Linked DNA regions of Caenorhabditis elegans. The protein of the gene in region 1 interacts with the protein of each later gene in a pairwise test. Each region holds a gene or a part of one and is shown in the gene's direction. Other genes may lie near its edges.

What was found.
Region 2: the proteins of rad-51 (region 1) and rad-54.B interact in a two-hybrid assay, tested with the Caenorhabditis elegans proteins (2 studies listed by BioGRID).

What each region holds. Positions count from the first base shown.
Region 1 is NC_003282.8:10,282,553-10,286,475, reverse strand, and holds the start of rad-51 (DNA repair protein RAD51 homolog), read left to right. Parts: upstream 1-2,231; coding exon 2,232-2,256; intron 2,257-2,340; coding exon 2,341-2,420; intron 2,421-2,461; coding exon 2,462-2,743; intron 2,744-2,979; coding exon 2,980-3,126; intron 3,127-3,180; coding exon 3,181-3,338; intron 3,339-3,824; coding exon 3,825-3,916; intron 3,917-3,923.
Region 2 is NC_003282.8:16,947,977-16,951,899, forward strand, and holds the start of rad-54.B (DNA repair and recombination protein RAD54-like), read left to right. Parts: upstream 1-2,090; coding exon 2,091-2,133; intron 2,134-3,408; coding exon 3,409-3,559; intron 3,560-3,923. Other genes in the region: arf-6 (ADP-ribosylation factor 6), read left to right, coding at 1-57, 1,404-1,485.

The sequences.
Region 1 (3,923 bases):
TTGAATCACTGGCACATAAATTAAGATGATTGAATTGACTATTTGCATAGTTGGGTATAAAATTACAATCAGTCAGTTCTGTCTCATAAATTGAAAAGTTTGAGGACAAAGAAAGAATCCTATTGAAAGAGGTGATATTGCCCAGTAAATACATAATTTGGTCAAAATATTTGTACATAACCATGTAAATGACCTATTAAAACATCTCCATTCCAGTAATTCAAAAAAAAATCCAAAAAAATTTAGAAACATAATACAGGAAATAGAAGGAGTTCAAAAAGATTTTCTGAACTTTTCAGAAAGTAGGCTAAAATACGGAATTGGATCATTAGAAGAAAAGACAAAAAGTTTGAAAGGAAACTAATTGGTGGAGAAATTAATATTAATCAAAAACATTTTTTCAAATTCACAACTTCTGATCGCACTAGTAACCGGCTCACTTATAGATGGAAAACCTCTAGATCTAAACTTCGATCCCAATTGTTCACTCATCATGTGTTGAGTTTAATTTTAAGCCCAAATGAAATCAATTACCCTAGTTAGTTACAATTCTCATGCAAAGATTTTATTAACAAATTTCACTTCTTTATGTAGTTTATCAGTAGATACACATGTGTTTCGCGGTTTTTTAAATATTTATGGAATGTAGTTGAGGCATCAGCAATATGATGAAGCAAATATTTTGCACTAAAAGTCGCAATTAGCAATATATTGCTAGAATGTTGGTGGTCCCGCAGCGAGATTAGCGATTTGCAAATTGCATCTAAAATACTGGTGGCCATAAGTATTTTATAACGGCGAATCACCTGTGTCATAGCCTTTCTAAATTATTTGCACTTTCATCATAATTTTTTTTCTTGCGATTCTCTCCATTTTCCGTTCAATGAACGATTTAATACGCATGTTCAATAATAATAAAATTTATCCGAGAGGAGTACAGAAGAAAATTAACATCGCTGCGAGACCAATCGCTACAGTACTCAATGTCGATTTACGGAGGAAACATGTTTTGATTTCTCATTGTTTCTTTTGTCATTTTTTGTCATTTTAGTTTTAAAACTTAATTATCCTCTAATGATTTGCGCGGTTTTTTATTAAATTTTTGATTATTCTCGTAGCTTTTGAGTTAAACTAATTAAAAGTCTTCAGCTATGCTAAATTTTGCTTCCTTTTCTTGAATGAAAACCTAAAATGAACAAAATTTTTTGTCATTAAATAACAACGCTTCGGTTAACGCTTGAAATTGATATTCGGAAAATAAAAAGCCTGATTTTTGTTCGATTTCTGAAATATATTTCATGCTTTACCCGTTTTTAATTGCGAACAATTCTAAATTTGAAATATAATTTTCAATCAACGAAAAACAATTTTCAAGATAAAAAATTATTATATAAATTTAAGCTAAGTATTAATAAATTAATAAGTAATAGTATTCAAAAATCATAGAATCTTGCAAGAAAAAATGTTTTAAAGATTTAATAGTTCGAGTGATTGAAAAACGAATAGTACTTTAAAAAATAATGCTTTAAGGCAGAAAAGTGATATAAAAATTAAGCTCAAAAGGGCAAAAGATAAGGTTAATGTCCAGTTTTGGTTTTAAAATGGTTCGGACACAATGTACATAGTAGACATTTGGGTGTCCTCTTCCTTCTCTTTTCCCCATTGCGTCCACTGACCCTCCTTGCTGTATGTCTGCGCATCGTCTTTTTCTACACTTTTTCCTTTTCCCTGGCCCGTTCCTATCGGTGCCTTTCACACACGCGAGCGGCAGTGGACGAGACGGGAGGGCGAGGTGTTGAACAAGAGTACAGCAAGTGCGCGCCATCGAAAAAGCGGAAAAAAAAATTTCAAATGGCGCTACTTTGAAAATTGAGAATTCTGTATTTACTGCCAGTTTTACTTGCATTTAAATTTCCATGTTTTCTATTCTAAAACGAAAATCTATCTAAGAAAACCCTTAATAAAAACCTATAAATCATAAATTGTGATTCTTAAATTCGAAAATATGTTCGTTCAACTTGACGCCTAGAAATATGTGGACTTAATCCTGTTATAAATCAGTAGTTGACGACAAAAATAGTAGAGCAGCAAAAGCAGTTCTAACTTGTGAAAAACATGAAAGTTCTTGTTTTCGTCAAGCGAACGGGGGCTCGAGGAAGGACTTGGCACGTGTCTCTAGGCCATGTTTTTCTCAATTTTTGTTGCTCTAGAGAAAGCTTTTGCTATTGATTATGGGACAATCTTGGGGATATGAAGGTAACATTTTAAAAATAAGTTTAGGTAAATGTGTAGCATAATTTTTGAAAAAAAAAGCTCCACTGTTAAAAATGCCGATTTTAGGGATTGCGAAACGTTCACTATGTACACATAAATGGCTATATAATTTGAATTTGCATTCAATAAATCTTTTCCTTCCAATTGTATGTTTTAACTTAAAAATAATTAATTAAAATTATCTCAGGAGTCAAAAATGTCAGCTCAAGCAAGTCGTCAAAAGAAATCGGATCAAGAGCAGCGTGCAGCTGATCAAGCTTTGCTCAATGCAGCAATCGAGGATAATGCGATGGAGCAAGATGAAAACTTCACAGTTATCGATAAACTTGAGTCTTCAGGAATCAGTTCTGGCGATATTTCAAAACTAAAAGAAGCTGGATACTATACATACGAATCGCTGGCATTTACTACAAGACGCGAACTCCGAAATGTCAAAGGAATTAGTGATCAGAAAGCTGAAAAGATAATGGTGAGCATATCAAAAAATCAGCTTATTCGAGAATTAAAGAAAAAAACTAAAAATTCTGTGGCTTTATTTTTCAAAATCCAATTAATTGAATTGAAAGTATCAGAAAAGTTGATACATTTTTCGAGGTTAGCTCCGAAAAAGAATGAAACGATCAGCTGCAAGGTCAGTTTTGACGGCAAATCGACCAGCTGTGAACATGTAGACATCGGCCTCATATTTCAATGATTTAATTTCAGAAAGAAGCCATGAAATTCGTGCAGATGGGATTCACGACGGGAGCCGAGGTTCATGTGAAGCGAAGCCAGCTGGTGCAGATCAGAACTGGATCTGCTTCACTTGACAGACTGTTGGGTGGCGGTATCGAAACAGGCAGTATCACTGAGGTGAGTTTATCACGGATAAACTGACAACAGTACTCAATAAAACATTTATTTCAGGTTTACGGAGAATATAGAACAGGAAAAACTCAGCTTTGCCACAGTCTGGCAGTCTTGTGTCAATTGCCGATTGATATGGGAGGTGGTGAGGGAAAATGTATGTATATTGATACCAATGCCACTTTTCGACCCGAACGAATTATTGCTATCGCTCAGAGGTTTGTGATTGAGAATTATTCTTAAAAATCCTGAATTTGTCATAATTTGATCTCCCGACTTGAAAATTTAAAAAAAAATTAAAATTTATTTCGAGAAATCAGTAACATATTTTCTCAGTCTGAAAATAGCTGTTATTTTTGCTTGAACAATTGAAAAGGCCAAAAATGGTCTGCAAGTTGGAAATTGCCGTAAATGAACTTTCAGAGATGTTCCGGGTCTTTTTTTGGCGAATTTCAACTTGCAGGCAATTTTTTAGCCTTTTCCTTATTGTTTCAACAAATATAAGTTTTTTTTTTCAGATAAAGTAAATATTTCTCTATATTCTATCACTAAGTTTGAAATAAAAACGTTTGGAGAACAAGTCGCAATGGCTCATTTTGTACAATTACTGGTTTACGCCACATGGCTTGAATTTTGGCATTTGAGAATTTACCTTATTATGGATCTTGTAGCATTTTTTTGAATATCGAAGTAATTTCTTGCAGATACAATATGGACAGTGCTCATGTACTCGAGAATATCGCTGTTGCACGTGCATACAACTCAGAACATTTGATGGCTTTGATTATTCGAGCAGGTAAATC
Region 2 (3,923 bases), 6.7 Mb from region 1:
GAAACCACACGAAATTCAGGATAAATTGGGATTGACGAGGATTCGAGACAGGAATTGGTAAGAAACATCAAAAACTCGAGGAAAAACTGATTTTTCTGCAAAAATACATCAAAAAACACCCATTTTCTCTCGGAAAATGGGTAGAAAATGCAGATTTTGGTGTAAAAATCAAATTTTTCCGATTATTTCTCACTAAAAATCTCGTTTTTATGCAAAAAATACAATTTTTTTAAATTTTCTCGGAGAAAAAGCATAAAATAGCGATTTTCGCTTAAAATTCCCTCAGTTTCTTCTAAAAAACCTCCAGAAACGAAATTTTTCTTCTTTTTTTTTAACGGAAAACTCTAAAAATTCGCCTTTTTTTCGGTTTTTTCACCAAATAATTCAGATTTTAAGGCATTTTCATCAGTTTTCGCACTAAAAATCCAATTTTCCACCTGACAACGCTCAAAATTAGAAAATTTATCGTTTTAGAGCCATTTTCCATCAAAAAATGCAGTTTTTCAGCATTTTTTCAGTAAAAATTCAATTTTTTCATCAAAGTGCTTGAAAATCGAAAATTTTCCGTTTTTAACCGATTTTCTAACAAAAATTCATATTTTCAACATTTTTTTTTCATTAAAAATTCAATTTTTCCCTTAAAAAACGCCCAAAACTCGTTTTGCCGGCTTTTCCCGTTTTTTCACAAAAAAAAAACCATTTTTCCATTACAAAGTGCTTGAAATTCGAAAATTCTCCGATTTTCGACCAAAAATTCCAGATTTTCAGCTATTTTAAGCCAATTTTTACTCAAAAACTCATATTTTCCACCTGAAAACGCTCAAAATTCAAAAAAAGTTCCTTTTTTTAACCGATTTTCTACAAAAAAAAAGCAGTTTTTCAACAATTTTTCACTAAAAACCCATTTTTCCTTTAAAAAAAATGTTCCAAACTCGAAAATTGTCGGTTTTTGGCCAATTTTCCCAAAAAAAATCGAATTTTTGCAGATTTTCAGCTATTTTCATCCGTTTTTCACGGAAAATCCAATTTTCTCATCAAAAAGTGCTTGAAATTCGAAAATTTCCGTTTTTACACCGATTGTGCACCTAAAATTCCGGATTTTACGGCATTTTCATCAGTTTTTGCACTAAAAAACCCATATTTTCCACCTGAAAACGCTCAAAATTCGAAAAATGTCGATTTTAAACCGATTTTCACCTAAAATTCCGGATTTTCAGCAATTTTTCCACTAAAAAAACCCATTTTTCCTTAAAAAAAAACGCTCCAAACTCGAAAATTGTCGGTTTTAGGCCAATTTTTCACCGAAAAAATTGATTTTTTTCAGATTTTCAATCAAAAACCTTCATTTTTCACCTAAAAATCCACGGATTTTCACCCATAATTTCCAATTAATTTCTTTGCAGGTACGTCCAACCATCATGTGCTTCAACCGGAGACGGCCTACACGAAGGCCTGACGTGGCTAAGCCAGAATTGCAAGCCGTAAAACACATTATCTGAAGAATTTGGAATAAAAAATTCGCGTCTTGCCAAATATTAACAGTATTTTTTTCACTTTTTATCTGCAATTTTTTCTGTTTTAAATTTTTTTTTAATTCAAAAAAAAAAAAATTTTTTTTTCAAAAAATTTTCAATCCCTTAAATTTTAACATTGTGTGTGCCATGCTTATTCCTATTTTCCCTCTCTTTAATTCACAGAAAATACTCGAAAAAAATGCTCAAAATGCTCCCCAAAAAAATAAATTTCCAAAATTTCCCCCCCCCCCCCCCCCCTAGGTGCCCAATTTTCACTTATTTCCCCACTGTTTTTCCCGAGTTCCCCCCCCCCCCCCGAAAAAAAACACTAAAATCACTGCTTTTCTCCCCAATTTTTGCTCCATGACCGAGGTTTTTCTCGGCCGCGGCGACCTCCAATTTTCTCCAAATATATTCGCTGCCATTATCTGTGATTTTATCGTTTTTTATGGAGAAAAATATATTTAAAAAATCGATTTTTTGGCCAATTTTATAGTTGATTTTCTTTAGGACGAAATATTTTTTGCTGCCAGATTTTCAGATTTTTAGGCCAAAAATTTAAATTTAATATTTCAGATGTCCCGAGTGGTTCTCAACGTGGATAGTTATGAGGGAAATGGTAGGCGCCTACGCCTATAGGCTGAAAATTTCTGAAAAATTGGCATTTTTGGCTGAAAAATTCGAAAAAAAAACGACCAAAAATGGTTGGAATCTGAAATCCACCATTAAAGGGGCGGAGCTTAGCCGGACAATTTTTTAGGGAACGCATATCGCCGGGAATCGAATCTATGTACAATTTCTACAAAAAGCCAATAAATGGGCGGAGCAATGCCACGCCCATTTTCCCGGGGCTCGCAACGAATTTGTTTCCGTAGATCGTGTTCTTCCAAAAAAAAAATCTTCCAGAAATTGAAGCCCCGCCCACAAAATGGCAGGTTCACGATCTACCAAGAAATGGGCGTGCCCTACTAAGCTCCTCCCACTTTCGCTGCAAAAATCGTGATATCCGAATATTTTTCGGAAAAAATCCCGAAATTGACGCTCCGCCCACAAAATGGTCGGTCCGTGATCTACCAAGAAATGAGCGTGTTCAGACATGCTCCGCCCATTTAAGGGGCGTGGTGTATTACGTCCCACCCACTTTCCCGGGACTCGCAACGAATTTATGCCCGTAGATCGTGTTCTTCAAAATAAAATCTTCCAGAAATTGACGCCCCGCCCACAAATTGGTCGGTCCATGATCTACCAGGAACGGGCGTGGCTTATTATGTCTCGCCCACTTTCGCTGCGAAGATCGTGATCCCCGAATATTTTTCGGGAAAACAATTCAGAAAGTTAAGCCCCGCCCACAAAATGGGCCGCCCATGGTCTACCAAGGAGTGGGCGTGCCTTGTTAAGCCCCGCGCAATTTAGGGGCGTGGCGTATTACGCCCCGCCCACTTTTCGGGTCTCGCGACGAAATTGTGACCGCAGATCGTGTTTTTCGAAAAAAAATCTTCCTGGAATTTAAGCCCCGCCCAAAAAAGGGCCGCCCGCGATCTACCAAAAATCCATTTTTTTCAATTTTTTTCAAAAATGGACAAAAATTCGGCAGATCGGAATCTACCGCCCATTTTTCGGGTCTCACAGAGAAAATATATCTCGGAGCCCATCTTTTTCATATTTTTTCAAAAATGGACAAAAATTCGGCAGATCGGAATCTACCAAGAAATGGGCGTGGCTAGGTTTGCCCCGCCCACTTTTGGGTCTTGCGACGAAAATGCGTAAGGCTTTAAGATTACGGGACACATTTTCGTCGCAAGACCCAAAAAATGGGCGGAGCTGAACGAAATATTTATGCTCCGCCTCTTTTGTGGTCGAAAATTTTATTTTTCGAAAATTCCCAAAATTCCAGACACCCCGAGCGCCGAAATCGCCCGTTTTGTCGTTCTCTATGGAAAAGCTTCGACTCGAAAACACAAAATTTGGGAAGGAGACGGTCTTCTCGTGTGTTTCACAGATTCGTGTCTCCTGAAGTCGGAAGATGAGCGTGACGTCATTTGCAGGTTGGTGCCTGGCTTCGTGAAAATTGGAGAAAAAATCGATTTTTTAGTTGAAAAATGTGAAAAATAGGCATTTTTGCCCCTAAAACTATGAAAACTTTGAATTTTTTACTAGAAAATTGGCGAAAATTTGATTTTTCATCTCAAAAAATGGGAAAATTTTGAATTTTTACCGAAAAATTGGCAAAAAAACTATTTTTTATCCTAAAAAATGTGAAAAATTCGATTTTTTTACCGGAAAATTCGAAAAAAAATTGTTTTAAACCTCAAAAAATGTAAAAATTTGAAGTTTTACCCCGAAAACATTAAAAAAAACAATTTTTAGTTGAAAAATGTGAAAAATAGACATTTTGTACCCAAAAAGTGT